Lepisosteus oculatus: one gene and its partners. The protein of the gene in region 3 purifies or fractionates together with the protein of the main gene of each other region. This does not show direct contact. Links are inferred from orthologs where the notes say so. Each region holds a gene or a part of one and is shown on either strand. Other genes may lie near its edges. The genes, in order: prpf19, snrpa, sf3a1 and phf5a.

Evidence for each region.
Region 1: the proteins of sf3a1 (region 3) and prpf19 fractionate together in Homo sapiens (co-fractionation; 3 studies listed by BioGRID and IntAct, with this or other methods). This does not show direct contact. The link is inferred for Lepisosteus oculatus from reciprocal best matches to the Homo sapiens genes SF3A1 and PRPF19.
Region 2: the proteins of sf3a1 (region 3) and snrpa fractionate together in Homo sapiens (co-fractionation; 3 studies listed by BioGRID and IntAct, with this or other methods). This does not show direct contact. The link is inferred for Lepisosteus oculatus from reciprocal best matches to the Homo sapiens genes SF3A1 and SNRPA.
Region 4: the proteins of sf3a1 (region 3) and phf5a purify together in Homo sapiens (affinity purification with mass spectrometry; 3 studies listed by BioGRID and IntAct, with this or other methods). This does not show direct contact. The link is inferred for Lepisosteus oculatus from reciprocal best matches to the Homo sapiens genes SF3A1 and PHF5A.

What each region holds. Positions count from the first base shown.
Region 1 is NC_090701.1:41,961,613-41,969,011, reverse strand, and holds the start of prpf19 (pre-mRNA-processing factor 19), read left to right. Parts: upstream 1-4,395; 5' UTR 4,396-4,562; coding exon 4,563-4,581; intron 4,582-5,224; coding exon 5,225-5,374; intron 5,375-7,132; coding exon 7,133-7,209; intron 7,210-7,394; coding exon 7,395-7,399. Other genes in the region: voltage-gated monoatomic cation channel TMEM109, read right to left, coding at 1-125. UniProt on the Homo sapiens protein: Ubiquitin-protein ligase which is a core component of several complexes mainly involved pre-mRNA splicing and DNA repair. Required for pre-mRNA splicing as component of the spliceosome.
Region 2 is NC_090698.1:2,559,336-2,566,554, forward strand, and holds the start of snrpa (U1 small nuclear ribonucleoprotein A), read left to right. Parts: upstream 1-4,208; 5' UTR 4,209-4,318; intron 4,319-5,661; 5' UTR 5,662-5,675; coding exon 5,676-5,748; intron 5,749-6,351; coding exon 6,352-6,524; intron 6,525-7,219. Other genes in the region: actmap (actin maturation protease), read right to left, coding at 313-383, 628-757, 1,186-1,310, 1,618-1,686, 2,312-2,484. UniProt on the Homo sapiens protein: Component of the spliceosomal U1 snRNP, which is essential for recognition of the pre-mRNA 5' splice-site and the subsequent assembly of the spliceosome. U1 snRNP is the first snRNP to interact with pre-mRNA.
Region 3 is NC_090717.1:13,808,739-13,815,884, forward strand, and holds the start of sf3a1 (splicing factor 3A subunit 1), read left to right. Parts: upstream 1-4,133; 5' UTR 4,134-4,402; coding exon 4,403-4,450; intron 4,451-5,003; coding exon 5,004-5,113; intron 5,114-5,832; coding exon 5,833-6,046; intron 6,047-6,568; coding exon 6,569-6,826; intron 6,827-7,146. Other genes in the region: ccdc157 (coiled-coil domain-containing protein 157), read right to left, coding at 1-52, 857-1,104. UniProt on the Homo sapiens protein: Component of the 17S U2 SnRNP complex of the spliceosome, a large ribonucleoprotein complex that removes introns from transcribed pre-mRNAs.
Region 4 is NC_090707.1:38,169,454-38,176,523, forward strand, and holds phf5a (PHD finger-like domain-containing protein 5A), read right to left. Parts: upstream 3,015-7,070; 5' UTR 2,871-3,014; coding exon 2,819-2,870; intron 2,235-2,818; coding exon 2,211-2,234; intron 1,670-2,210; coding exon 1,503-1,669; intron 523-1,502; coding exon 433-522; 3' UTR 298-432; downstream 1-297. Other genes in the region: aco2 (aconitate hydratase, mitochondrial), read left to right, coding at 3,496-3,531, 5,628-5,770, 5,895-6,153, 6,425-6,517, 6,615-6,773.

The DNA of each region.
Region 1 (7,399 bases), on a different chromosome or scaffold from region 3:
TTCCAGGTGCCGCCGGCTCCCCGACTCTCCCCGGCCGGCCCGGGCTGCCCGAGACAGGCCGGTAGGGCCGCGCACAGCACCGCCAGCAGCACAGCGAAGGGTCTCCGGAGCGGGTACAAAGCCATCGCCAGCACCTGTCCGAGATCGGGACTCCAACACAGCCGACGGGCGAGTTCGCGATTTAAAACCTGGAGTTGAGCCCCGTCCGCCCTGCTTAGCACGTAAAGCTGAGAATGTTACTCATCAGAGAGCAACCCTTTTTTTTAGAAAACGCACAGCTGTCTCGCAATAATAGAAGTTTAAATCCAATTTTAAAGGAACCTCTTCAAGTGCGAGTGAACCAGCTCTCCCTCATGAAGTATCTGCAGTCCAGAGGCCGCGCTCGTTTCCCAGTTAAACCAGGTTGTAGAAGATTAAATCTAAGACGACGAAAAGGTTGCTAAAAAGACTCCCGAAAAACTTAGAACATCAACTGAAACTCAGCGGCGATTTATGTATTTTATTAAAAATGATATATCCTGGTATAAGATGCGCCTCTGTCACAGCCTGCACAACCTTGTCTGGACTGCTGAGCCACACGAAGGCACAGTTCACTGGGAGATAAAATAAAGTCGCACTGAAATCTAAAACACCACATTAAGCCGCGACCTTCTGCGGCTAAAAATAGATATCTTTAAAAAAATACACAGCTGGCGCTGGAGAAGAGAGTTTTGTGCAAATGGAGGTCTGTCTTCAGTCCAAACGAGGGCTCCTTAATGTAGCTTTCGATCCGGGTTTAACTACTTGTTGCTGTTTTAAAGAAGTAATATTTTTTTTTAATTAAAGGCTGACGATATCGGAAAAAGCGAGTTAAAACAGCGAAGCAATTAAAAGTTCGGCTAACTAAGCGAGCAAACACGGGCAATGTTTAGGACGCTCCTATCGCTAATATTAGTTACCGCTACAATGTTAGAAGCCTTCTGCTGAGCTGTATCTCCTTAAACGACCTGAGCCACCCCGCCCCGCCCTACCCGCCAGACTAAAGCGGAGTGACTCACACAGTATGCATGTTAAATTGGAGCCAAGCCCGTGCCTGGCGAGGGGCGTTGGAGCACCGTTGCATTTCGGGAGTTGTAGTTTGTGTGCAATTGAATTCCAAAGTAAACTTTATTATTGTCATTCCCTAATGGCAAATGGACAGCGTCCAGTACAGGACTACAACATATTCTGTGAGATGTATGAGACGTAAAACCGAGGTCCCGACTCTCTGCAGTTAAAAATCCCAGGACGTTTCTCGAAAAGAGTAGGGGTGTAACCCCGGCGTCTTGGCCAAATTTCCCATTGGCCCTTATCAATCATGGCCTCCTAATAATCCCCCTCTATGAATTGGCTACATTACTCTGCTCTCCTCCCCACTGAGAGCTGATGTGTGGTGAACGTTGTGGCGCACTATGGCTGCTGTCGCATCATCCAGGTGGATGCTGCACATTGGTGGTGGTGGAGGGGAGTCCCCATTACCTGTAAAGCGCTTTGAGTGGAGTGTCCAGAAAAGTGCTATATAAGTGCAAGCAATTATTATTATCATTATTACTATTATTATTATAACCTCCCGGGAGGTTAGATCTCTGCCACGCGATAGCGGGGCTCTCACACCGATCCTGCAAAACTGCCTCCGCGCCTCCGCCGCCCCCGTCTTAACAGACTTCCCAACCCGTGCGGGTCCTGACCCGAGGGCCCCTGGCTTTAATTCACACACTGCGTACAGCACCTCTGGGTCACGAGTCAGCCAGCTGTGCCGTTACACACTGCACTGCCCTCCTGCAGTCAGGCCCTGGGCTGCGGGGCACTGCCATGCCACCCTGGTGCCACCCTCGGCCACCTGCTTCCCCGCACCGAGCTTTCCGGCGTCCTGATCTCCCCACCCTGCCCTGCCCTGCCCTCTCGGGCCCTGTGCTCCCCCGAGGAAGAGGGGGTTCCTGGTTTGGAAGAGCGGGTTGGACTCTCTTGCTCACCCACGGATCGTAATTGTGAACAAACTGGAAGAAACCTCACGGGGCGCCCCACCGCCGAGCCCCGAAACTGCTCAGCATCTTCACCGACCCCCCTCTCCTCCCCGTCACTGGCTCACCCTGATGTGCTCATTCAGACCTGTATTTAAGCTGCGTGTGAGGTGACTGGGTTTGTGGCTGTGGCTGCTGTTCTGTGTCTGTGGTTTTGGGTGACCCCTTTAAAGTCTTTGAACTGCAAGCGGAGCTGAGCTCTGTCCTCCGCGGACGGGGGCTGGAGACGGCGGCTGCGATCAGGCTCTGCGAGGCAGGAGGGGGCGTCAGTGAGAACAGGAGGACTGTTGGAATCGAGAGGCCCGTGTGCACTTCTCGTTCACTCGACTGAGAATGCTCACTGTGAGGGGACCTGTGTGTCTCTCCCCCACACCGACCCAAGACCAGATTTCAGATAAGACCACTTTATTGGCCATATACAATTTCTTGCATTTGTCTTTTCCCATACCCCAGCTTGCTCTCCATGAGACACACAGACAGGGAGCTTTTATATTTCATTATTTCATATTTCCATAGGGTCAGCTATTTATACGGCACCCCTGGAGCAGTTGGGGTTAAGGGTCTTGCTCAGGGGCCCAACTGAGTAGGATTCCTCTGCCGGCTGCGGGATTTGAACCGGCAACCTTCCAGCCACAGGAGCATATCCTTAGCCACAGAGCCACCGGTTCGCCCCCTGTTGGGTAGTTAGGAGCTAGTTGATCCCAGGATTTCATCCAGCATCCAGAAACCAGTGTATTGGTTTTAACATCATGGCTGGGAAGCTTGTTCCACACTCCCACCGCCCTTTGTGTAAAGACATGCCTCTTGACCTGACTGCAGGACCTCGTCCAGGTTCTTGAGAGAAGCCAGAGTATCGGCTTCAACGACATCAGTGGATACAAATCATCCTGCAACTCATACATCATACATAGCAGCCATATCACCCTGCAACTCACAACTGGCAACCCACTGAAGCTAAGCAGGTGTGAGCCTGGTCAGAACCTGGATGGGAGACCTCCTGGGAAAAACTAAGGTTGCTGCTGGAAGAGGTGTTAGTGGGGCCAGTAGGGGGCGCTCACCCTGTGGTCCACGTGGGTCCTAATGCCCCAGTATATTGACGGGGACACTGTACTGTAAACAGGCCCCGTCCTTCGGATGAGATGTAAAACCGAGGTCCTGACTCTCTGTGGTCATTAAAAATCCCAGGGCGTTTCTTGAAAAGAGTAGGGGTGTAACCCCGGCGTCCTGGCCAAATTTCCCATTGGCCCTTATCAATCATGGCCTCCTAATAATCCCCCTCTATGAATTGGCTACATTACTCTGCTCTCCTCCCCACTGATAGCTGATGTGTGGGGAGCGTTCTGGCGCACTATGGCTGCCGTTGCATCATCCAGGTGGATGCTGCACATTGGTGGTGGTGGAGGGGAGTCCCCATTACCTGTAAAGCGCTTTGAGTGGAGTGTCCAGAAAAGCGCTATATAAGTGTAAGCAATTATTATTATTAATTATCCTGGTTTCTTCCCCCTTTCCGCTGGTAAGCGTTACAGGAGCATAAAGTCACGAACCTCCTCCACATTCAGAGACACTTTCTTCCCTGCAAACTGTCAGATTATTCAATCCATGCTGAAAAGAGAAGAAAGAAGACACAATGTTTCGGCCGTTGAGCCTTCTTCAGGTGCCGAAACGTTGCGTTTTCTCTCTTCTCTTTTCAGCATGGAATAAACCTATTACTTGTTCCATTGCAGCCTACGCATGCTGACGCAGCTCCCCACCTGAACTACTTCAGATTATTCAATTCTACCTCTACCACTGACTCATACTGACGTTTTTTTTCCACATTTCTTGTGCTGACTTGTATTTTAAATTGTATGTGATTTCACTTCACTGCTGTTCTGTGTTTATATTTTGGTGTTTCCTCAATGTCTTTGTATTGGAGCATACATGCAAACAAGCATTTCATTGCACTCGTGCATAAGACAAGCGAACTCAGCTGAACTGGGCCACTTGTTCCACACTTGGTTTCTTTCAAGAAACAGCTGGATGGGATTGTAGTGCTAATAGCTTCTACCAACCCAATGGGTTAGACGTAACATTTCTTAGGATGGCCTGCAAGCTCACACGTTCACTGGCTTTCCCACTCTAGTCGCATACTGCTAACAGAAATTTCTTTTAGCCAATGAAAATGAGAGTACCTGGCGCTCTAACGACAACCTTTCTCTCGACCCAGAAGGAGGCGGGCCTGTAAGTCGTGATTCGCCTGTGGATTGGCTCAATTTGTCAAATGGGCGGTGTCGGAGGAGCATCGCGCCGAGTAAGAACACCTGTCATTGGTCAAGATGTGGGAGAAGGCGGGGCTGGAGGACCGGGAGCTCTCGGAAGCTATCCCAGCATGCCGAGCGCGCCGCGGCGGTACTAAGTCGCGCGGCGTGTTGTTGCAGAGTTGTAATTCGCTGGGGCAAGTGTGTAAAAAATAAATCAAATCTACCGAAAGGACAGCGGAGATCTCCAGCACCCGATTCCGTTGTTGGCTGGAGGGTTTGAATCATGTCTTTCGTTTGTGCTAGTAAGTCCTGGCCGCCGGGAAAGCTCGGAAAAAAAGAGTTTCATTGTGAAGTAAAGACGCGTTGTAAATGTCGGCACGCAGTCGAGTTTTCCAGGGCTTGCGGCGATACACATCGTGAATTTGCCGATAGTAGCAGCAGTAGCGTGGGTTTCGTGTGTTGTGTAGAAAAAGCCTGTGTTTCTGGGAATGTTTTGGGTGCGCGAGTTGAGTTGAGGTGAGGTGGGAGTGTGGGTCGGGGGAGGTGACGGAAGTTCGTTTCTCTCCCGTGTTGCAGTCTCTGCGCCTCATCGCTGCTTATTGAGACGGGTTTTTCTGCCTAAAAGTAACATCGGCGGCGGCAGGATTGTGCCACTGCACGTGTGAGCCCACAGTCCTGCGTGAGGCTCCCCCACTCGAGAAGGGAGCTGTGCAAGGGTCCTCTGGCCTTGCAGTTCTGATGGTAACAGTACCTGCTGCCTGGGCACAGGCGGGTTTGTGCGCCGCAGGGCCTGATGCAGACGTTCAAAGACGACTGCTTTTGTTTTCCCGGATGATTTTCAGAGAGGCCGTTACCCTCGTGGGTTAACAGCCGTGTCTGTGTTGCCGTGGGAGGGGGGGTTGTGTGAACTTCAGTGGACACTGACTCCGTCTTGCTCTCCCCCAGTCTGTCACGAGGTGCCGGAGCACCCCTGCGTGTCCCCGGTGTCCAACCAGGTGTTCGAGCGGCGGCTGATCGAGAAGTACATCGCGGAGAACGGCGCTGACCCCATCACCGGCCAGCCGCTGTCCGAGGAGCAGCTGGTGGACATCAAGGGTGAGGCTTCTGTGTGTCTGCTGTCCCTCTATCACTAATCCCAGCCCCAGTGCTGTCCAGCTGCTGGACATCAAGGGTGAGGCCTCTGTGTGTCTGCTGTCCCTCTATCACTAATCCCAGCCCCAGTGCTGTCCAGCTGCTGGACATCAAGGGTGAGGCTTCTGTGTGTCTGCTGTCCCTCTATCACTAATCCCAGCCCCAGTGCTGTCCAGCTGCTGGACATCAAGGGTGAGGCTTCTGTTTGTCTGCTGTCCCTCTAGCCCTAATCCCAGCCCCAGTGCTGTCCAGCTGCTGGACATCAAGGGTGAGGCTTCTGTGTGTCTGCTGTCACTCTATCACTAATCCCAACCCAGTGCTGTCCAGCTGCTGGACATCAAGGGTGAGGCCTCTGTGTGTCTGCTGTCCCTCTAGCCCTAATCCCAGCCCCAGTGCTGTCCAGCTGCTGGACATCAAGGGTGAGGCTTCTGTGTGTCTGCTGTCCCTCTATCACTAATCCCAGCCCCAGTGCTGTCCAGCTGCTGGACATCAAGGGTGAGGCTTCTGTGTGTCTGCTGTCACTCTAGCCCTAATCCCAGCCCCAGTGCTGTCCATCTGCTGGACATCAAGGGTGAGGCTTCTGTGTGTCTGCTGTCCCTCTATCACTAATCCCAGCCCCAGTGCTGTCCATCTGTTGGAGATCAAGAGTGAGGCTTCTGTGTGTCTGCTGTCAATCTAACCCTAATCCCAGCCCCAGTGCTGTCCAGCTGCTGAAGAGCAGCTTGTAGACATCAAGGGTGAGGATTCTGTGTGTCTGCTGTCAGTCTAACCCTAACCCCAACCTCGTCTGCTGTCCAGCTGCTGTCTGAAGAGCAGCTCGTGGACATCAAAGGTGAGGTGTGTCTTGCCATCTCCCACGCTGCACTGCTGGGATGCCTGAGCAGCTCGCTGCTGTAGGAGGCGTGAAAGATGAACCTCAGCACTGTGTTCTACCGCATGGCTGACCCGGTAGGGAGCTACGTCCTGGGAGAGGTGGATCTAGCCGAGCAGCGCGGGGAAGGGTCCTTTTCCGCACAACATCGTGTCCTCCTGCACGGCCGGGGAAGGCTGTCGGCAGACCTGAAAGCACACGCGTGCTTGCTGTTCCTGCTGATGTAGCGGGGCTCGGAGTGCTCAGCCCCTTCTGACTCGTGCACAGTGTCAGACTCGGCCGTGGAGTTATCCCCTGTCTCCGCAGCGGCCGAGAGCTGCTGGGGTCTAATCCCAGCAGGGGCAGGGAGAGCTGTAGCTTCTTTCGCCCCTGGAAGTGCTGCATTGGAGCCTTCATGTTGGACTGAACACTTCCACTGGAACAAATGCATGTATATCATGATTCCTTTCCCGTCCAACCCTTCTACTTACTAACTGATCCGAGGATCTCGGCCTGCAGTTTCTTTAAAGAGTCCAGGGTATCGGCTTCAACGTCATAGCAGGGCGGTTTGTTTTACACTCACACTCCCACTCCCACTCGTAAACTAGCTTTAGTGAAGAAAGAAGTTTGTTCCAGGTCCCTGGTGTCTGAGCCTTGGGGTCTTATTTGTGTTCTTGGCTTATGCAGAAGCAAGCCTTGTGTACTGCTAGAGACTTCAGAAAAAAAACCCATTAAGTACAGTCCAAACAGTTTCTGATTTCTGTGCTGAAGGAATCGAGATCCTGATGCGCGGAGCTCCCACTGCTGGTGTCAGCAGGACCTGTCGAGTTCCAGAGGGACCGTCTCTATTAACCACCCTCTCTCTCTTTCAGTCTCTCACCCCATCAGGCCCAAGGCTCCGTCTGCAACCAGTATTCCTGCCATTCTCAAGGCACTACAGGATGAGTGGGTGAGTTTCTCAGTGTGTCTGGACTGTATTAACCCCTCTCTCAGTGCAGTGTTAATGTACTGGAGTGTCCAGTCAGTGTGTCTGGACTGTATTAACCCCTCTCTCTCAGTGTTAATGTACTGGAGTGTCCAGTGAGGGTCTGTCGTGTTTTATTTGCTGTAGTAACTCCACTGTCTGTCTTTCAGGATGC
Region 2 (7,219 bases), on a different chromosome or scaffold from region 3:
CAACGTTCCCTCTACAACAGGCAACAACGTTCCCTCTGAAGACTCCTGGTTTAGTGAACCAGCTGGAAAAGCAGAGTGACCTTGTTATGATTGCAGCAGTGGCCTGAGAGCTCCAGTCTTGGGGGACTGCAGAGCCTGGGGTTCTATTCCATCTCATTACACCTCAGAACGAGCTCAACTTTAACGGGTCCGATTTTTAACATTTATAAGGAGCCAGCGTTGATTTAAATACCCCAAGAATGCCTGCGAACTCCTGGGGTTTCGGGGGGGGCTCGGGGCTGGCGCACTGCCCCGCGGCGGCTGCTCTCTCACCTGAGACCACGGCCCAGTGCGCCCGGTGCCCGTTCCGCAGGCACGGCTCGTGGTTGAAATCCTCATCGTAGCTTCCAGACGTGGGAGTCAAGGAATCCTTCAGGCGGTGCTGCAGAGCTGGGTCACTGGGTCAGTTACGTCCTGACTACTGTCGAATCTTTGTGGCAACGTGTAAAGGGGATCACCGATCGATGACTGGGCTGGGGTGACTGACATTACAAGGTGCCCACACTTTGGCCACATGCGGTTGGGCTACGGGGCGCCGTCAGCGGCAGTGGTCGTGCCCAGAGGGGGGCTCTTGCCAGCGAAGGATACGGGACGAGGAGGGGCTGGCCGGCGGCGAGGTGCCCTATGACGCGCATCTCATTCTCTCCCCTCAGGCCTCCGCTCAGCAGCTCCGCAGCTCCGCCGTACAGCTCCTCCGCCAGCAGGGCCATGGCCTGGGCTGGGGGGAGGGAGAGGAGAGGACAGGGGGTGACAGGAGCGGCACCGAGGGCCCAGGGAGGTACCCTGGGAACAAGACCCTACAGCCTTACCCACGGAGCAGCTCTGAGCTGTTTTTCTAACTGCCCGATTTGAAACTGTAAAAATGTGTTGTCTTCGTTTTGGACACCTGGTGCCCAACGGCACTTCCGTTTGCATCTTCACGGTCTGTGGGGGCACCTGCCCCCCCTCGGAGATCACACAAGGTCACGAGACCAGACGCGCATGTTGGGAGTCTGCTCAGTGTCGTGCACAGTGTTGTGTCCCCGTTGGACCGCACCTCCGCTATCAGAGTTGCTCATTTTCACAGCCTTCGGTCCAGCTGCGAGAGTAGTGGACGGTAGGAAATGGGAGAACGGACACTGTGGGTCAGTCGAGGGGGCGGCTCACCTGAGAACATCTCTCCCTGGGCGGTGTACCCTCTCCCCAGGGCTCGGGCCACGATCTGCTCCAGAGGCAGGGGTGTGGGCCCCTGCAGGAGGTGCCCGGCCATCCACAGAGCCACCAGCCCACACCTGTGCGGCAAACCCCCACTGTCACCCCGGAAAGAGACACCCCAATGCACGTTCGCCCCCAAAACCTCACCTCGTCACTAACACACTGCTTCTGCTCCAGCGCAGACTGCAAAGTATCGCAGTCGGCCAACCAGCACAGCGCCCCCCTCTGTCACACTGGTATTCGGACTACGATCTGAGTGGTGCAAGTGCTAAATATTTCTTTCTTCTAACTCAAAATAATTCAGCATATTTAACGTACCCAAACCTCCCTGACCAGACACTCATGTCTAAATGTCCACCCAGGCCGGGGGCGAGGAATACTCACTGTGGCCCATCCTGGATCAGCGATGGCACATACTTATTGAACAGCACCCACTGCAGGTCTCTCCGGAAACTGCAGAAGGAACACATCCTCGTTTCTAATCCGCACATCCAGTAAAAAAAAATACATTCTCCAGCGCAAGTGAAATTGCATCTGAAAGAGAAGGGAATGCTGCAGGCCAATATTTATTTTATCTTTAATATTTAAAGTTTAGGGCGGAGCGGTGGCTCTGTGGCTCAGGATCTGCGCCTGTGACTGGAAGGTTGCCGGTTCAAATCCCGTGGCCAACAGAGGAAACCTACTCTGCTGGGCCCCTGAGCAAGGCCTTTCACCCCAGCTGCTCCAGGAGCGCTGTACAATGGCTGACCCTGCGCTCTGACCCCCAGCTTCTCTCCCTGTCTGTGTGTCTCATGGAGAGCAAGCTGGGGTCTGCGAAAAGATGAATTCCTAATGCAAGAAACTATATAGGGCTAATGAAGAAATATTATTATTATTACATTATCAATACCCATGTGTCTCTAGCAAGCTCAGAAATACGGGATGGCTTTCGCATACTCCTGTTTTGCTCAGATCTGTACAGGTCTCAGTCTCCTCCGAATTCTCATCCTTTGAAATCGCGCAGTTTGAGAAAATGGGTTGTGAGTTCGGGCCTCTGGGTTTGGCCACAGTCATTCGGGCAGCACTGCTCCCTTCCTACCTGTCCTGTCTCTGCCGGAGAAGCAGCCGGGCCTCCTCGTAGTCTCCCGAGACCGGGGCCTTTCCTGCGGCGATGGCCTGGTACAGCTTCTTCTTCCCTGGGCAGGCGGGGGCCGGGGGGGGCGGCGGGGGAGCAGGGGGGGGCGGCGGAGCCACGAGAGTCGGGGTGCTCATGGCCGTGATTTCCCTTCAGGGGTCTGTGGTGAAGAGCGACCGGACCGGTGAAGGACGCCGACGCAAATACACAAAATGTCTGCCCGTCTGCAGCCGCGAAACGCGAACGAGCAGTGCGGGGCCCCAGATACAGGCTCGAGGCGAGCAAGGGCTGGCCTGGCTAGTATTGGGGTGGGAGACGTCTAAGGGAAGCCAGGCTGCTGCTGTCAGTGGTGTTGGTGGACCAGTAGGTGGCGATATTCCCTCTGGACAGGTGTCTCCAAGGCAGTGCCCCAGTATGAAAGCTGGGGACCCTGTTTGGGAAGAGGTGCTCGTGTCCACCTGAGGTCCTGCCTGATCGGTCAGTAGAGAGAGGACACTGTCCGCAGGGCTGCTCTCCAGCCTGGCCTCCCTGCAGTTCCTCCTAATGTCCTCTCAGCAGTTTCTCTCTCCTCCGCCTCATCTGTGAATAGTGAGGCAACTGTCTGTCCTGCAGGTGAGTGCACCTAAATGTTCCTCTGGGGTGGAAAGTGCAGTATAAGTGTCATTAACGACAATGATAATTATCCCATCCTGTTCACGGTGTGGCCCCGCCTTGTGCCCTGTGCTTCTGTAAAGGACTCCAGGGTTCTGACCCTCATCAAGTTTAAGGTACAGCACCCTTACCTTAAAGCCAACTTCAGTCACCCTTTTCTCATATTGAACGGTCACTTTAATAATCTTATAAAAGACCACCACTAGCCCTAGCCAGCGGCTGGGATGAAACATACGGAGCGGAAATAAAATTCTTCACAGACTCGCAAGCGAAGAAGTTTATTCGTGCAGTCCCAGGGAGCACGTGCCCGGACGCAGCTCGCGTGCAGCGCGTCAGGGACAGAGGGGCTCCCCGATTTGGGCAGGGATTAAAAATAGACAATAAACAAATGTACCATCACTGGCTAGTTAAATGAAGTTGGAACTTTTGTATTGCTGCACTTTTTAGCTGGTTTAAACAAAACAATTAAAAAAAACTATTGTTTTCCATTTTGATGTGTGCAATACGGTGAGTTTTACAATCATTGTATAATTAAAAAGGTTTAAGTCAGAATTTGCAAAAATGTATATGAAAAAAACCTGCCACGATCAGCACACCTTCCTTTAAACGTCAGTGGAACTCGTGAAACTGGCTATTTCTGGCCAATCATAAAAGTATTTGCAATTTTATTTAAAAAAAAACTTCGCGGGATGCGTCGTCTTTTATAATTACCAAGGTAAATCAACGCGCAACTACAGCTATCTTGGAAACATTTTTATCAAATGCATTCCTTCACACACGCAGAAACCGGCCAGAACTGTATTTACTGTCTAATCAATTCTAGGCTTAACGAGCTATCAAATACTTACCCATGGAAATCGTCGGGTCCAAGTCGGGAATATTTTTACTGTGACACCCGGCGTAACACACCGTCAAGTCAAGGCGAATCAAGCCCTCTGTGAAACTGCAGATAATCATTCGTCATTTTGGCTCTACCCAGCGATTAAAAAGAAAGGCAAAACCAACTCCTTCTTAGCGCCAAAATGGCATCGTAAGCGCGTGTAAGAAGCATGTCGGACAGATTGTCCAATCAGAACTAGAATCAGAGACCGGGTGGGTGGGATATACTGTACATGTGTCCAATCGAGAGCTGCTCTAGCTTTCGCCTCCAATCGCGTTAAGGAACGTTAACAGGTAGGCGGTGTTTATGGAGTGATTGGCAGGGAGCTGGCAAATTACAGGGCAGCTGCTAGCAGTTAGTCTCCATGGTCGCCCGAGCGCAAGGAAGTCCAGGCGAGTCGAGGGAGTAGGCCGCAACCGGGAGCCGATTTTAAACAATCCGTAAGTAAATCCTTTTGTAAACGAGCCATCGTGTAATTATTTTATATTCTTTAGTCAGTTTGGTGATCGTGCGATGAACAACAGGGAGTATTTTTGTTTTTATGAAGCGTGGCGGTGATTTAATTAAATAAAGGAGCCCGACTCGGGCGTAATCCCGAAACCGTTCATTCGCTGGGCGGATCTGATTCGCGGTTGTTTGTACAAAACTATTAACTTCGTAATCGTCGCCAGAGCTCCAAAGGCGTTCGGCCGTTTTGAGGGGATTTTTTGCGAAATAATGAAAAAAAATCGCAGTAAAATTTGAATTTTTGCGCGTGTATTGAGGCGGTTCTGGTGGGCGCTGGCGGTCCTGTTGTTTGGATACCTCACTGCCGGAATAACCGGGCTGGGGGTGTGATCCACCGAGTGAAACCCCCGGGCTCATGATCTGGAAGCGGGACAGCCTGAACCGTGTCCTTCGTGTTCCGAAAGAGAGGGGGGGAGTCGGGCGACTTTCCCTCCGCTAAAACCCGTTGACCCGGGGGGGGCTCGGTTCTGAGCCCGTGTTAACGATGCCCGATCTTTGCTCCTTGGTATCGAGAGCAGTTGAATTTGCCAGAAGATGGAGGCGAGGGTAAAAAAAATAAAACCCATATTTCTTAGTGTCCCAGTAGGCTGTCCCTTTGAGGGGGTTTGTGTGAGAGCGGTTCATGTTTAGGGCGACTGGGGGACGTGGGGAGATCTGGCCCGGATCGGAGGGAGTCCGTTCCTCCTTGAGCTCCTGGTTTCGTGCAGCTTTTTTGTTTTTAAATAAGTTTTTATTTGAACACCAGAAATACAAAAAAAAAGGAGACAGAATAAATGAAATATATACAGAAATACGCACTTCAAAGCGAGAGGAATTCACAATTGTAAACACTAAAAATTAGATATTTCCATTGTATGTCTTTCTTGTAAGTTTATTTCTAACAGGATTTAAATAAAAAAGGAATTCAAGTTTAAAAGCATGAATAGAGGGAACAGTATTAGAGCATTTACATGTGTGGATAAAATATTTTGCCAAATAATTAACATTAATAATAAAAACATATCCTTTTTTCCAAACCAGTTCTAACGAAATATAAAATAATATCAAAATCTTTCGATTTAACATTTGCCTTTACATGTTGAGCAATAACATTTTGCAGATCTGTCCAAAACAGTTTTGTATATATGCAGTTAACAAACAAATGTGACGAAGATTCCTTCTCATTATTACATAGTACACAGAAATCGTCTTGTTCATCCAAAAAGTGACGATTCTGGTTTCGTGCAGCTGTGTAGCAGAAGGGACCGGGTTCTGAGCTGTGCTCTTTCTTTCCCAGTGTCCTCAGCGGCCATGGCTATGCAGGAGCTTCGCCCGAACCACACCATCTACATCAACAACCTCAACGAGAAGATCAAGAAGGATGGTAGGTGCCCCCAGCAGACCCCTCGTGTCGCAGGGGAGAGGTGACGTGTGAGGAGGGCTCTCCACCCGTCTGCCCCGTTTGTTCAAGCAGGGCGGATGGCCCCCGGATCAGAACCGCGTCGATGTTGTGTTTCTGACTGGGACGTGTGTGATTGCAGCAGTGTTGACGTGTGACGGGAGGTTGGGTCTGCTGGATAGTGGGCCTCTGGGTGATGTCTGGCGCAGATGGGCCTGAGGGAGGCCAGTGTTGCACCAGCTCTTGTGTGTAACAGTAAAATAATTCCCTGTGATTTATCATGGCTTTGTCCTTTACAAACAGGGGGGTGGGAGTGTGTAACAGGCTACCCAGCCATGTGGTTTGATGATACCCTGGATTCTCAGGAAACCGCCAGATGAGGTCCTGTCATCAGTTAGCTACTGACTACTAAATGGGCTGTGTCTTGTAACCCCCCATTTGTGATCTTTCATGTGTTTTTTTTTTCTGAATGCAAGGAGTTTCCAGTGATTAACAGGAGCTGATGTAAAGATCATCACTCGGGCGCTAGTGTGTGGAGGGGAGGTCTTGGCCTGCCTGGTTTTCTCAGGCGGCTTGCTTTTCTTGCAGAGCTGAAGAAGTCCCTGTACGCCATCTTCTCGCAGTTCGGCCAGATCCTGGACATCCTGGTGTCGCGCTCGCTGAGGATGAGGGGCCAGGCCTTCGTCATCTTCAAAGAAGTCAACAGCGCCTCCAACGCCCTGCGCTCCATGCAGGGCTTCCCCTTCTACGACAAGCCCATGGTAGGGCCCGCTGTCCGCGGCGCTCGCTTGCAAGCGTGGCTTTTCTTGTGCTGCGCATGTGGTGGGGGGGTTGTGGTCCTTATTAGGGAGTTGTGGTCCTTATTAGGGAGTTGTGGTTTTCACTGTAAAAGTTCTCAGATGAAAGCAGGAATTTGTCGGGAGTGCACGACCCAGGTGTTAAAAAAGCACCAGAGTAAAACTAGGCAGGCACGGCACTGTTTCCTCTCGCATGATTTTCGTCCTGCCCAGGGTGTAGCCCTCCTTGCGCCTGTTGTTTGCGGGTGTGGGTTCCAGTTTCCCTGAGATCCTGTCTCGGATAAAGTGGTTTAGAAAATGGATGGATGTGATGTTGTTCATCTGTTGCACTGACCTCCATCGTAATAAATTGGTTTGAAAGAATGACGGTATCTGTGCTCTGCTCAGATGTGAACACTCAGTGGGAGCGGTTTGTATATAAATGCTGATGGAGCAGTGCTGATGAAATTAACAGCATTACACATTGTTTTAAACACCTAGAGGACCCCCGATCCCTTTGCCCGACAGCTGTTTGTTGACTTCAGCTCTGCATTTGTTAACCTGCAGTCTCATCTTTTGATTAGCAAGCTGAAGCAGTTGTCTGTTAATTCTGTTATCGTTTTTAACAAATCGCACAGTGCGTCAGGGTCAGTAAGACTCTTGAGTTTACAGTGTGAGTC
Region 3 (7,146 bases):
TCCCAGCATGCCCTCGGTGAAGCCACTGAAACTCTGCAGCAGCAGCACCAGCCTGGCAGCACAGACAACATCACTGCCTGTAAGTGGAACTCACACCATCACGCCTACAACACACACCAGCAGACACGGGCTGACACTTGGCAACAGATGTTGAGTTCTTGCTTTTTCAGTGCTCTGATGCTTTTTTTGTTTCTTTCACATGATTGCTGAGATGAACACTGTTAAAGGAGTAATATCCCCTGCTGAGAGAGAAACAATCAGACAGAGCAGCAGCAGGGCTCTGAGCTTATTGGGGTACTGCAAAGACACCTCAAAATCACATTTTTTACACTACAATCATTTGGTAAGTTAGGAAAGTAATGTGCTAATAAAGCAGTAATACCACCTTCAGATATTGTTTTGAAAAAGTCAAATGTTATTATTTATTACATTTGTTATTGATACAGATTTAAAATGTATTACAAGGACAAAGATCAAGAGGGACACCTCAGCAATCTTGTACTGGGCCTCCATTGTACTGAGCTACATTAGTATCGTAAATATTCAGTTGAAATTGTAGAAACATAAAGTACTTACTTAAAACAAAGGTGGGGGAACAGAATTAATTTCAAATTCACCGAAGGTTTTCACTTTTCATAGGGATTGCTTCGTATTAAACTCAAAATTAGTCTGTTTCCAATTTGAAAGCCACACTTTTTCTATCAAAGGCAACTCACTGCTGCCACCCAGTACAAGAAGCAGGAAGACAACACTTTGCGTTTATTTGAGCTCTCACTTTCTCAACTAAGTGTGTGGGTTATTCATAAAGGCTTAGTAAATACTGTGTGGACATGAAGTAGAAGGAACAGAACCTTACCTGTCCACAACCAGCTCCAGCAGCACGATATGGGAGTGCTGGTTGAACTCCTCCTCACCCTCCACAAAGTCATACTGCTCCAGGAGGGTCACCAGGTCTAGGTTACAGGACAGCTTGTCGGGGAACTTCCAGGAGGGACTGCGGATCGGGCCGGTGCGGGAGAACACATCCAGGACCGTGCCCTGGAGGTCAGTCAGGTCCCTCCGCAGGCTGTCCACGCAGTCCTGCCGGCCCAGCAGGTGGCTCATCTTCCCCAGCCTCCCAGTCTGCTGTCGCTCTCCAACCCTTCGAAGAAGCGTTTGCCAGCTGAGACCGAGTGCTGAGATGCACACAACAGCCCAGACCTCCACAGCCTCATGGTCTTCAGCGCTACTTCCCTAACACCCTTGACAACTGAAGACGGGTCTTTTTTCTGTTTTCTTTTCCTTTCAGCAGGAATAACCCTTTACCTGTTACTCTGCAGCCTGCGCAAGCCGACGCAGCTCCCTGCTGGAACTTCTACCTCCCTAACTCTTATTAAACGCTATTTTGATCCCTTTCGATTTTTCTAACCCAACAATAATCTTCTCATTTTTAAATCTATGCTACTTAATGCATCATGACTACTGTAATAATTTGCAATCCAGGCCCTAGAGGAGTACTGAAATTGGATCTAGACAGGAGCCTGTAGGTTTTATGGGAAAAACAAACTCTTCTATTACTAAAGGCTTGGAAACAATTGTAATTAAGACCAATTAATTGCGTTTTTCTTAATTGATTGATTGTCATTAAGCAGTCAGTGAGGAATGGAAACCAGAGGACCTTATAGCTTGCCAGGGCCAAGAGACAGAATCACTGTACTAGTGCATTCTCCACAATGTTTAGGAGTTTAAATATCAAAATGCATCAATGATCATCAATACAGATAGGCTTGATGGGAGAGGGGCAAGGGCTGCAGTACTGATTTGGGAAGCACTGCTGTGAAAGAGTACAAGGCTTTTGTTTTAATAAAAATACCTGACCGTCTAATTAAGTGGTTTTAGTCATGGTTGCAAAGAGCACCTGTGTCTTCTGGGTTTGACTAACTCAGTTTTGCATTACTTAACTGAATACTTGAGCTGTGTCCCTAAGTGCTCAAAACGATTGGAAATGTCTTAATGAGACAATTGTTAGTTCAATGTAGCCTCAATGACAAAGAGCAAAGCTGAAATGAAAGCCAGAAAAGACATCAGACCAAAACACACAAAACAAAACAAAGGCACAATAGACATATCTGACAAAACTAAATAAGGCATTTATTTAGGCAGGACCTACTATAACAAGTTGAGTCGATAATAGAGTACAACTATGAAACTGTATTGTTGAATCAAAACCTTCTGGCTGCTATCGCATATTAGTGTGGTGGATTGAAATTGAATACAGTCATGGCATGACTCAGTTGAATGTACTGTAAAGCAACGTATTGTTAAGAAGAGCTAACAAATTAATTAATATAAATAATAATCACAAAATCCATTAAGAGTAGAGTTACTTACCAGGATTACACTCCTCAGGCTCTTGTGACCCCTTTATATACATGTGATTGCTTCATTAGAGTATAAGTATAACTGAAGTTTCCTCCTTTAACATGCTCTAAAAAAGTATCATTTTCAGATTACTTACAAGTTTCGAATGGTAAATTGAAAACCCCAGAGCTGCAGTTCTGAAGACTATCAAAAAACCTAGAAGGAACAGTGAAATGTGAATTAAACCCAAGGGCACAAGTGGAGCCTACATGCATTTAAAACTGAGAACTGGAGGCCCTTCACTACGCAAAGGGTTGTGGAAGTAGTCTCCTGGTTAAATGTGGGGTAAATTAAATAATCACAAAATCAGACCGAACAAAACTCAGCACACACTGGAGTCATTAGAAACAGGGCTGACACTTGAGTCGGCAGTCTTCAGAGATTTACAGTAAGTCACAGCTCTCCGTTCAACATTCAGCTTGGTGACCATCGCTCTCGAAGTCACCAAAAAAGAAAAAAAGCAGACAAGCCAATGCACTTGCAGAAATCATGCTCCTGCTGCCGACACACAGTAAAAAATCAGATGATACATCAAGAAACACTTACTTGTCCTTACTCTATGGTCATTGCTAGAGCTTTCGTGTTTTTGCTCTTCTGTTTTCAGTTCGATGAAATACAGCGAAACGTCCCTGTTTTATTTGATCGTTATGCTCTTGAAATCCTCAAGCTTCCATCTGTTGTCCCCTATTTCCATGGAAACAACGGACAGGAAGTCGCCTGAGGATGACGTCATCTGAAACTCCAGCTGTCGAGCCATTTTATCAGGAGGCACTGGCTCGGACATTATTTGATTGCTAAGAATGACAACAGTTATAACGTAGCCTTTTTATCCAAGGCGACCTATAATTATATTCAGAATTATAGTGCCACGGAATTTTGAACTGGCCTTAATATTAATTTTGTTAGCTTTTCGCTTGTTTTTGTTTCTGTAAACGTGTATACATTTAATATTTTTTTAATATATATATATGTGTGCGGTTGGTAGCTCAGGATAAGGGCGCCTACAAAATTAAGACAAACATAAATAACTGTAAACATTATTTTTAATTTTGCAAAAACACACTGAAGAGCAGTAAATAGTTAACTGTTATTTAATGAAAAGCAACGACAGAAACAGTGAAGGCTGTGGAAACTATGGCGATACTGAGATGAAAAATATATTTCAAATATGTGGTACACAGGAAATTGCAATTGCTTGCAAGTCCAGCAGCCATATCACCCTGCAACTCACAACTGGCAACCCACTGAAGCTAAGCAGGTGTGAGCCTGGTTAGTACCTGGATAGGAGACCTCCTTGGAAAGCTAAGGCTGCTGCTGGAAGAGGTGTTAGTGGGGCCAGCAGGGGGCGCTCACCCTGCGGTCCATGTGGGTCCTAATGCCTCAGTATAGTGACGGGGACACTACACTGTAAACAGGTGCCGTCCTTCGGATGAGACGTAAAACCGAGATCCTGGCTCTTTGTGGTCATTAAAAATCTCAGGGCGTTTTTCGAAAAGAGTAGGGGTGTAACCCCGGCCTGGCCAAATTTCCCATTGGACCTTACCTAATAATCCCCCTTTATGATTTGGCTACATTACTTGTTCAGGCGCACTATAGCTGCCGTCGCATCATCCAGGTGGATGCTGCACATTGGTGGTGGAGGGGATCCCCATTACCTGTAAAGCGCTTTGAGTGGAGTGTCCAGAAAAGCGCAATATTAGTGTAAGCAATTATTATTATTAAGTCGGCCATCAGAGAACTGCATTTCCCACAATCCCAAGCGAGGGGCACTCCGGAAGAGGAGCTCCTTTCGTTTCCGGGTTACGAGAGTTACGCGAAACGAGTTCTTCGTTGCGGGCTGTAAACGAGGCCTTTTATATTTAAACATTACTGTTCCGTTCGATTCCATAATACGGCGAATCGAAGATACAAGGAAAAATTGGATTCAGTAGTCCGAGGACGCAAGTGATTCACCAAGACACGGAAACGCGGGTGTTTGGGTTGTCTTCGGCCCAGCACAGCCATGCCTGCCGGACCGGTGCAGATCGTGCAGCCGGAAACCAACAATAAGGTAACGGGTAGCTGCGAAGCGCTGCGGGCCTAAGTACGTGGTTTACCCGGGGTAAAACTGTACATACAAAAACAGCTACAAAAACTGTGTTCTGGTCCACGCAACGTGTCCATAGTAACTTCAGATCCAAAGAGTTTTGTTTTCTAATATTCCTGTAAAGAAACTTGTCGGTTTACATTCGCGCTCAGTGCAAATACATGTTCTGGGAGTTTTACCCTTGAGCTAAGAACTTTTCTCAGTGTAAAACAAGTCGGGTGCTTTTGGGTAGACCTGTGGAAGTCATCCGTAATTCGGGGGGATAATTGTAATATCTTCTGCGCGATAATAGTATACTGGGATGGTTGAGCCACACGAATACTAAACTCTAACTGTGCAAGAACGGGCGTGCTGCGAAGTTGACCGCCTGTGTTTTGGGGTTTTGAGATTTCGCTGTTTTTACATTTCGCGGTGTAGTGTCACAATGCATTGAAGAACTACACCCAGCAGTGTCTCTTTGCAGGCGGTGGATGTGACCTGTAGCCCTCAGTATCGGATTAATGTTCTGTTTTCACAGGTCGATGAAGCGAAAGAGGAATCGCCGGCTTCCAAGCCCATCGTGGGCATCATCTACCCCCCTCCGGAGGTCCGGAACATCGTCGATAAGACAGCCAGCTTTGTAGCCAGGTAGGCTGTTTCTTCTGATAACTTGGCAGCTCTCTCGATGCACCAGGTGGCACTATATTTAATTCTCTAAAAGAAAAAAAAAACACATTTTGGAACCATGATGGATGTACTAAATAGTTCTCTATTGTGTGTTGAGGTGTTTCTGAGGATTTCACTATAGGTACAACAGAACCCAGCGAGCCAGGTCCTGGGTCCCATTTAAAAAAATGATTATTACATTTGTAAAGGCAGATGTATTCTTAGAGGAACAATACAAAATCCATATGGCAAAAACAAAGATAACCAAACAAAAATGCATTTTGGAGTTAATGCAAAGTTGAACATGAGCTTTGAATTCAGCAAAACAAAAATTGCTCTTTTCTTTAATGAAGGTATCCATAACATAGCTGCATTTGTCGAAGTTCCAGGCGACTCTGAACTGAACGACTTGACTTGAAAAGATAGATGCATGTGGCTCCTCTTGGGAATTAGGTGCTGTCTCTCAGCTACAGCTGCTCCCTGCTCTGAGCTGCACAGCGCAGTGAATCCTGCTGCACTCAACGAGTGGCCTCCCACCGTGGGAGACTTGAGCACAGTTGGTGTCCTGTGGGGTCACGTCACCATAACAAGCTCACTGATTGAACCCTCGTGCAATATGCTGCAAGCCATTGTTGTTTCTGAACTCGCCCTGTAAGGGCATCTACGATTCCAGCATCCATTCCTTTCCTCTACCCTTGCAGAAACGGACCGGAGTTTGAGGCGAGGATTCGGCAGAACGAGATCAACAACCCCAAGTTCAACTTCCTGAACCCCAACGACCCCTACCATGCCTACTACCGGCACAAGGTCAACGAGTTCAAGGAGGGGAAGGCGCAGGAGCCCTCGGCCGCCGTGCCCAAGGTCATGCAGCAGCAGGCCCTGCAGCAGGCGCCCCAGCAGCAGCTCCCGCAGAAGGTAGGCTCGGGGGACCCCCTCCGCCCCCCACACTCGGAGACGACCTCGTGCTTTGTAACTAAGCGCAGTGGGCCTTGAGGCTCGGAAGGAACGAAGTCGTTGTGGATTTTGATTGTTCTGTTCTTGTCCCTTGAGTTCCGCAGGTTCGTTTTAATGGGTTTTTGAAAGCAGAACAAAAAAACGTGTTGTCAGTCAGTTTGTGATGCAACCAAATGGAACTTATAGGACTTGACTTTTAATAGGTGCATCAGAAGTGCTGTTGTTTCTTCACCACTGAACAGATGGTCACATCCTATGAGGCATTTCACCCTTTCAGGAAGAGCAAATCTCTATAGCTTGCCAAGTGAACAAAGATAATTTATTGATATGTTTATATGAGCCCCGTAAGTGGCTAAAAGTTATTTAGTTTCTGATCCATACATTATGGCTTGAACAGACTACTGATTTAACGCGATCCAATACACCGCAACAAGTGCAGAACGGTGTTCCCAAGCCCAGCTAACAGCTTCGCATCTTTGCAAGGTGCAAGCGCAGGTGATCCAAGAAACCGTGGTGCCGAAGGAGCCTCCCCCCGAGTACGAGTTCATCGCCGACCCCCCCTCCATCTCGGCCTTTGACCTGGATGTGGTGAAGCTCACGGCGCAGTTTGTTGCGCGCAACGGGCGGCAGTTCCTCACCCAGCTCATGCAGAAGGAGCAGCGCAACTACCAGTTCGACTTCCTGCGGCCCCAGCACAGCCTCTTCAACTACTTCACCAAGCTGGTGGAGCAGTACACCAAGGTAGAGGGAGCGCTCTCCTTCTGTATTATGACATTTATTTTATGCTTCTTCTGTTAAGGTATTTAATGACGTTGTAGTGACAGGAACTACAGTCAGTGATATAATTTCATAGATTATGTACTGTAGCAGCCCACTTTCATAAGTATGGACTCAAGCTGTGTGTGAGCAGTTCTATCCAGGTGTTCATTACTTCATGGACAATATATAAGATACTTCTTCCATCCCTTTTCAGTACCTTCTCAAAGCTCATCTTTTCACCACAGCCTGAAACCTTTGCATTGCTATGTATCGTATACAGACCCATTCACTGTTGTTTAATG
Region 4 (7,070 bases), on a different chromosome or scaffold from region 3:
GTCCAGTTCTGGTCCTGGAGGGTCAGTCAGTGTGTCTGCAGCAGGGCTGTCCAGTCCTGGTCCTGGAGGGGTCAGTCAGTGTGTCTGCAGGTTCTCTCTCTATAGCAGCAGCACCTGAAGAGCTGGGAGAAGCTGTTAAACTGGTCCAGTTAGGTCAATTATGAGCCGATTTGGCCTGTTAACAGTTCAGCTGGAATAAAACCCCGCAGACACACACCGCCCTCCGGGACCAGGACAGGCCACCCCTGGCCTTACCGCTAAACCCGCTTCGAACTAAACAGGACACTCGCGATTAAGCACAGTATAAAAACACCTTTATTACATTTAGAAAATCCTACACGTGTGAAAAAAAAAAAAGCAAGATCTTGGTTTGGACACCAGACTGGAGGCGGGACATCTGGACGTCTGGGCGCCCTCCCGACCTTTCCCCTTTCACCTCTTCTTGAATCCGTACTTCTTGCGCTCGTAGAAGAGGTCGGTCTTGGAGCTGCCCAGGTTCACGATCTTCGGACAGCCGTCTCTCTGCGGGACGGAGCAGAGCGAGGCAATCAGATTCATCGATGGCGAAACACCGGCCATGAGCCCCTTTGTCCGGCCTGGGGCAGGGGAACGGCTACGCTGGACCAGCGGGTCACCAGACGAGGGGGCGTTAACCTGCAGGATGGTGGCTCTGCAGGACCAAGGCTGCCGACTGCCGTCTAGATCGATTGATCACATGACACTATCCCAGTGGGAGGTCAGCGGTTCCCAGCCGCTGTCCAGGAGGAACACCTGTCTGCTGGTTTTCACCCAAGCTGGGCCCTAATCTCCTGCACTAACCGAGGACTAAACCGATCTGCGTGTATTAGACTTTCCTATAACTCATGTCTGCGGGCAGTCCTGAGTGTGACAAATACCCGCTTCAAGGGTCTTTTTCCCAGCAGCTTCAGCACACAGGACTTCACCGATCCTCTCCTCAAATTTCTTGCCAGTTTCTGACTCTTACTAGCTGATCTGTTGATGATGCACAGACAGTCTGAATAAAACTATCAGACACGCCCACACGGGGGTGTGACCCCATAATCTGACACCTGCAATTGGCTTTTTTCTTCCTCTCACAGGTGCAGTGGGTCACATTTCAGCACACCTGAACGAGGGAAGTTCTGTTTCTCGGAACCTGGCAGATCACACATCCCCCTCCACCCTGTAGGGGCTGAGAGCACATTCACATACATGTACACCCCAGACAGAAAACTGAAATCACAGAGTCTGTGTTTAAGAACTCAGCTGGAGAAAAACCCACAGAGCACAGAGGCTCCTTAATCTTGGTCCTGGAGGCCAGAAAGACGACTCGAACCTGTGAAGAGGGGAGCAAGCAGGCGCGAGACAGGACAGGGGCAGGACAGGGGCAGGACAGGGGCAGGACAGGGGCAGGACAGGGGCAGGACAGGGGCAGGACAGGGGCAGGACAGGGGCAGACCCAGTCTCCAAGGGGCGGGAGGATGCAGAGAGCGGGCACTCACGTCTTTCTCCTGGATGGTGCACTCCTTGCAGTAGTAGGCGTCCGAGACCCCCGGTCCCCCGCAGATCACACAGCGGCCCTGGTAGGAGCCATAGTTGCACTCGTCACAGATCCGCACCAGCGTGCAGGGCCGCACATAAGAGTCACAGATCACACACTTCCCATCACCTGAGAGAGAGAGAGAGGGGTTTATACAGACACACTGACTGGACACTCCAGTACATGAACACTGCACTGAGAGAGAGAGGGGTTCATACAGACACACTGACTGGACACTCCAGTACATTAACACTGCACTGAGAGAGAGAGGGGTTCATACACACACACTGACTGGACACTCCAGTACATGAACACTGCACTGAGAGAGAGAGGGGTTCATACAGACACACTGACTGGACACTCCAGTACATGAACACTGCACTGAGAGAGAGAGGGGTTCATACAGACACACTGACTGGACACTCCAGTACATGAACACTGTATTAACCTCTCTGTCAGTGCAGACATACTTACTGACTTTATTGTAAAAGATATTAAGAAAAATTATATATCTAAGAAAATAATTTGGTGAATTGTTTCTTTGGCCACACAGGTCGTAAAAAAAACTATAACACACTTGCCCCCCCAGCCAAGAAATTTTAATTCTGAAACCCTCAGTCTACAGATTTTCCCTCATAAAACACTAAGGTCACATAAATTTAGTACTTACATTTTTCACATAATCTTCCAATGGCTGCAATGACATGCAAAAATAAATGAGAAAGAAATTAGGACTCATTATCTATGAATATTAGAACGAAACCCAGCAATAATAATAAAACATTCCTAATTAGCCACCCTAATCATGATTTAATTACCATCTGAGTTAAAGTCCACTAAATTACAGTGAAACTACTTACTACCAACACTCATGCATTATTACAATCATTCCAGGACAGCTTACTGACGGCTGTCCTTTCAGGAAAACACGGTGCTGTAACTCGCCAATGAGCCCCGTGCCTTCCCCAACAGCAGATTCAGACATAACTTTCATATTGTGTTTCAAAAGTGGGTTACAGCAACACTCGCCAGCAAAATACAACAAAACACAACGACACTAGTATCTTGGTTCGGGATTGACGTTATTATAGAGTGTCCTAGGCAGTTTTTTTAAAAGTATTTCGTGTTACTAAACGGACATACCCGCGCAAGGACCTACTCGTTCAAACTTTAAACCGGCGCCCTGCGATCATATTATAAAGCACGTTGCCGCCTACATTCTGGGCATAGTAACTAAAAGAAAAAGAGTTGTTTTTAAATAGGAGCTCCCGTTCTTACCGACACCGGCTTGTTTTCTACAGAAGATCAAGTCAGGATGATGTTTAGCCATGTTGAGCTGTAGACAACGGCGCTGTGGCGCGTCTCACCTTTCACCTTTGAACTCAGCGTTGACCCTGTAGTTACGATATATTTTTTTATTAGTTATTTCAACTTTTTTCCACCTGACTGCGTTTTCTAAAGAAGGCCGCACCACCTGTTGTTCACAAAACCGTCTACAATTTCTTCATTTTAAGATTTTTATCTAGCACGCGATCTTTCATGCGGTTCCCGTAGCAACCAGCTCACATTTCTCCTCTCATTAAAATATTTTAAAATATTTTTTATTTACTAAGAAGTGAAAATGCTGCTTATCCCTTTTGTCCTGATTACGCTGCTTTTGTAATGACGTTCTGAGCGTTTAATAAAAGATTACTTGTAAACTTATCCTGGCAGTCGACTACAAACAAAAATGTTAATATGATTGAATACTGTGTGTATACGGACATATTTCCACAGATGTCATCAAAAATAGATTTTATAGTATTCGAGGTACTATTTCTTTCCAAAAATGACAAAAAGAAGATTCGAACATTAATATTTTATCTGTCTGCTAGGACAAACGTCAGCCCCCCGAGGCTATAAAATCGGGTGGCTCAACGTCATCCTCAAGCGACACATCTTTGTCAGTGAACAAAATGGCGTCCTACTGTCTAACCGTCAGCCGGCTTCAGGTGAGTGAATTTGAAATAACTCGTATTCCTATATTAATCGCTACTAGGTCTTATGGATTCCGACAGTTAGCCGCGTACGAACATAGAAGAGTCGGTCTGGAGGGATGTTATTGTTAGGAAATAAAAAGAATGTTAGAACCGTTGTCTCCCTCTCCTGACGTTAGGTCACGGTGTCCCCGTTGGAGTCTTGCGTGTAGCGGGTGATAAGCTGCCCCAGCAATAACAGACTGTTTAACGGCAAACACGGAGTACGGCTCAGTGAAAGGAAAACCATGGTTTAAATGGTTTTCACATCTGTCTAGCCCTGGGTGTGCCCGAGAAGCACCAGGAATGCCTCTGTCTGGGGGCTGCAAGGTGATCGCAAGGTTATTGAATTTGAAGTGCGCACTCCGAGCGTTTCTAACGGGGAACGCTTGTACTGTGGATCTCGCACTGGGACGGCATCCGCATTGATCTGGTTCAGCCTTAGCCAAAATACGGGATAAAAACCGTCGGCACTCATGGTGTACAATCGCATTCGGCGACGTGTCCAGTGTGTTAATTTGCTTTTAGGTCTTTTGTGATGCCAAAATTAAGCTTGGCTTTGATTATTGATAAAGGTGCATCGTTTGTCTCCTTTTCTGATTTTAGTTTTGCTTGCCACTTCATCTAGCTTGTGATAAATAATAAAGTACATGAATAAAAAATGGCTACAACCTCATACCCACGTTACCAGGTTTCAGTCTCATGAGTTGTTTTAATAGTTTTTATTTTGTGTCGTTTTTATGTGCTTTGTGTGGATCTGTCATTTTGATTTGTTTTCCCCATACTGAACAGATGTAAGTGTTATGAATTGTTAGCTCCTCTGAGTTTCTTTTTTGTGCAATTTATAACCCGTTAAAAAAAAAACGTTTTTTAAAAGAATCGCAGTCCCGTTCCACAGCAGGGCGCTCCACTCCGGGGTTTAGCAGGTGCTGGCACCTTATTCTGAGTCAACTGGTGTTGAGTTAAGTGAAGTTCAGTAACGACCATGTTGGGTTTTCTGCCTCGTTGTTTGACCCACGGGGTTCTGTAAGTTGTAAAACCCGAAACAGAAGTTTCCCTCTGTTCCTGTAGGGGACCGCACTGCATCCTGGGATTCTATCCTCCTCACGTCCCGGTCCCTTCATTCCTGAGTGCTGTTAATTTTCTCACTGGGCGTCGGACTTGATTTTGGCCCCCACATTTTCAAAGCATGTTGTAGATGATTCTTATTTCCTCCATGTCGACAGTATCTTTCAAAATCATCGCTCCTCTTTTCCTCCATTTCCTCTCCCCCCTCCTGGTCCGTCGCGCGCTGTGGGCCTCTGCTCGCGCCTCGGTGTCTCAAGGGAACGTCAAGGTGACGCCGGTGCCCTCTGTCTCGGTGTTGGGTTGCACTGCCAGCCCTGTGTGTTTACAGAGCAGCGAGCTCATTCCATCAGATGCATTGTTTGCAGTTTTAATTTACGCGCCCCTGTTCCTTGGGTTTAAGCCCTCTTTTCTCATGAGTCCTGATCTCGTCGTGGCCTGTACGCAGACTCTCTTCATTGCTGGCGGTCAGGGCATCCCCAAGGTCTTAATAAATTAAAGTTGACCAGGGTAAAAGGAAGAATCCGCCTCTTGACACTGCAGAACCTGTTGTCTGCTTTTATTCCTCTGCCCCCTTGATTGTGTTGCTAGTGGTTAACAGACTACTGTGTGAACATCACAGCCGGTAATACGTTATTTATTTATCCTTACTGATCATGTTTTCCACACTTTTTGAGCCACCCAGAAGGTCTTTGGGGGACTGTGCATTTCTCCTCCCGTATCACAGCTCTTGTATGCAAGTTAAGAAGTTAAGCCTCTGCCACCAGAGTCACAGTCCCAGTCTGGGATGAGCCCCTACAGCCCAGAGATCACAGCCAGGGTCCCAGTGCAGGATGAGCCCCTACAGCCCAGAGATCACAGCCAGGGTCCCAGTCCAGGATGAGCCCCTACAGCCCGGAGCCCCTAGTCTGTTTAAACATGATCTGGGAAAAAAAACTCCTGGAGCTGCCGAGTCTGTGTGGAACCGACCGTGGAAAGTGACTGCTCTGTGTGTGCTGTCTTCCCAGCATGCCCTGGGGCAGGGCGCGCGGCGGCTGCACGTGACGGCGGCCTTCAGCGCCAAGGCCAAGGTGTCCATGAGCCGCTTCGAGCCCGGGAGCTACATCGACTACGACAAGCTGCACCGGAACATCAACATCGTCCGCAAGAGGTGAGGGTCGTGCCCACCTGGGGGGGGGGGGGTCAGGCTGGACCCCCTTGTGGGTCCCTGGCGACGCCGCCCTTCCTTGCCCCGTCACGAACCTGTCCTTGTGGACCTCCTCCCCCCCCCCCAGGCTGGACCGGCCCCTCACCCTGTCCGAGAAGATCGTGTACGGTCACCTGGACGACCCGGCGGGGCAGGAGGTCGCCCGCGGCCGCACCTACCTGCGCCTGCGGCCCGACCGGGTGGCCATGCAGGACGCCACGGCGCAGATGGCCATGCTGCAGTTCATCAGCAGCGGCCTGCCCACGGTCGCCGTGCCCTCCACCATCCACTGCGACCACCTGATCGAGGCCCAGCTCGGGGGCGTGCAGGACCTGCAGAGGGCAAAGGTCAGCAGGGCAGCGGGAGGGGTGGGGGCTGGGAAGGGAGGGGGAAAGAGGCTGGGAAGGAGGTCTTCATCTTCCGTCGTCGGGTACCGCAGGAAGGCAAGATAGGAGAGGGGGGGTGGAGTGAGTGGGAGAAGTGTTATTCGGGTATCGGGACCTGTATGGGGGGGGGTGTTCGCGTGGGGTGTGCTTAGTCCCTGCCGTGGTTCTTTACAGGGGAGGGCGAAGAGGTGAAAAGCTAAACTGTTTTGCTCTTGTCTCTCTGGTGACCCAGGAAGTGAATCAGGAGGTGTATAACTTCCTGGCCAGTGCTGGGGCAAAGTACGGAGTGGGCTTCTGGAAGCCTGGCTCGGGAATCATCCACCAGGTAAATCTCGGATGCTGTTTTTTTTTTTTTAAATATAGATTTATACGCTCTCTCTGCTTTCTTCCACTGACGTTTCCACCCTCTCGCCCCCTCGCAGATCATCCTGGAGAACTACGCCTTCCCCGGCGCGATGCTGATCGGCACCGACTCCCACACGCCCAACGGGGGCGGGCTGGGGGCCGTGTGCATCGGGGTGGGCGGGGCCGACGCCGTCGACGTCATGGCGGGGATCCCCTGGGAGCTCAAGTGCCCCAACGTGAGTGATGTTCCTCTCCCTCCCCGCCCCCACGGGCCGCCCAGCAGCCCTGTCTGTCCGCTGCCGAACCACTCTGTCCGGGGCAGGAGGGTCGCGGGGGAGCTGGAGACTATCCCAGCAAGCACTGGGTGCAAGGCAGGACACACCCCGGACAGGACACCAGTCATCACAGGACTCACGCACTCACGCAGAATCCCAGAATCCAATTAACCCACCAGCATGTTGGTGACCCCCGCGGTCGATAGTGGCAGGCAGGAGGGGGTGACCCCGGTGGTCGATAGTGGCAGGCAGGAGGGG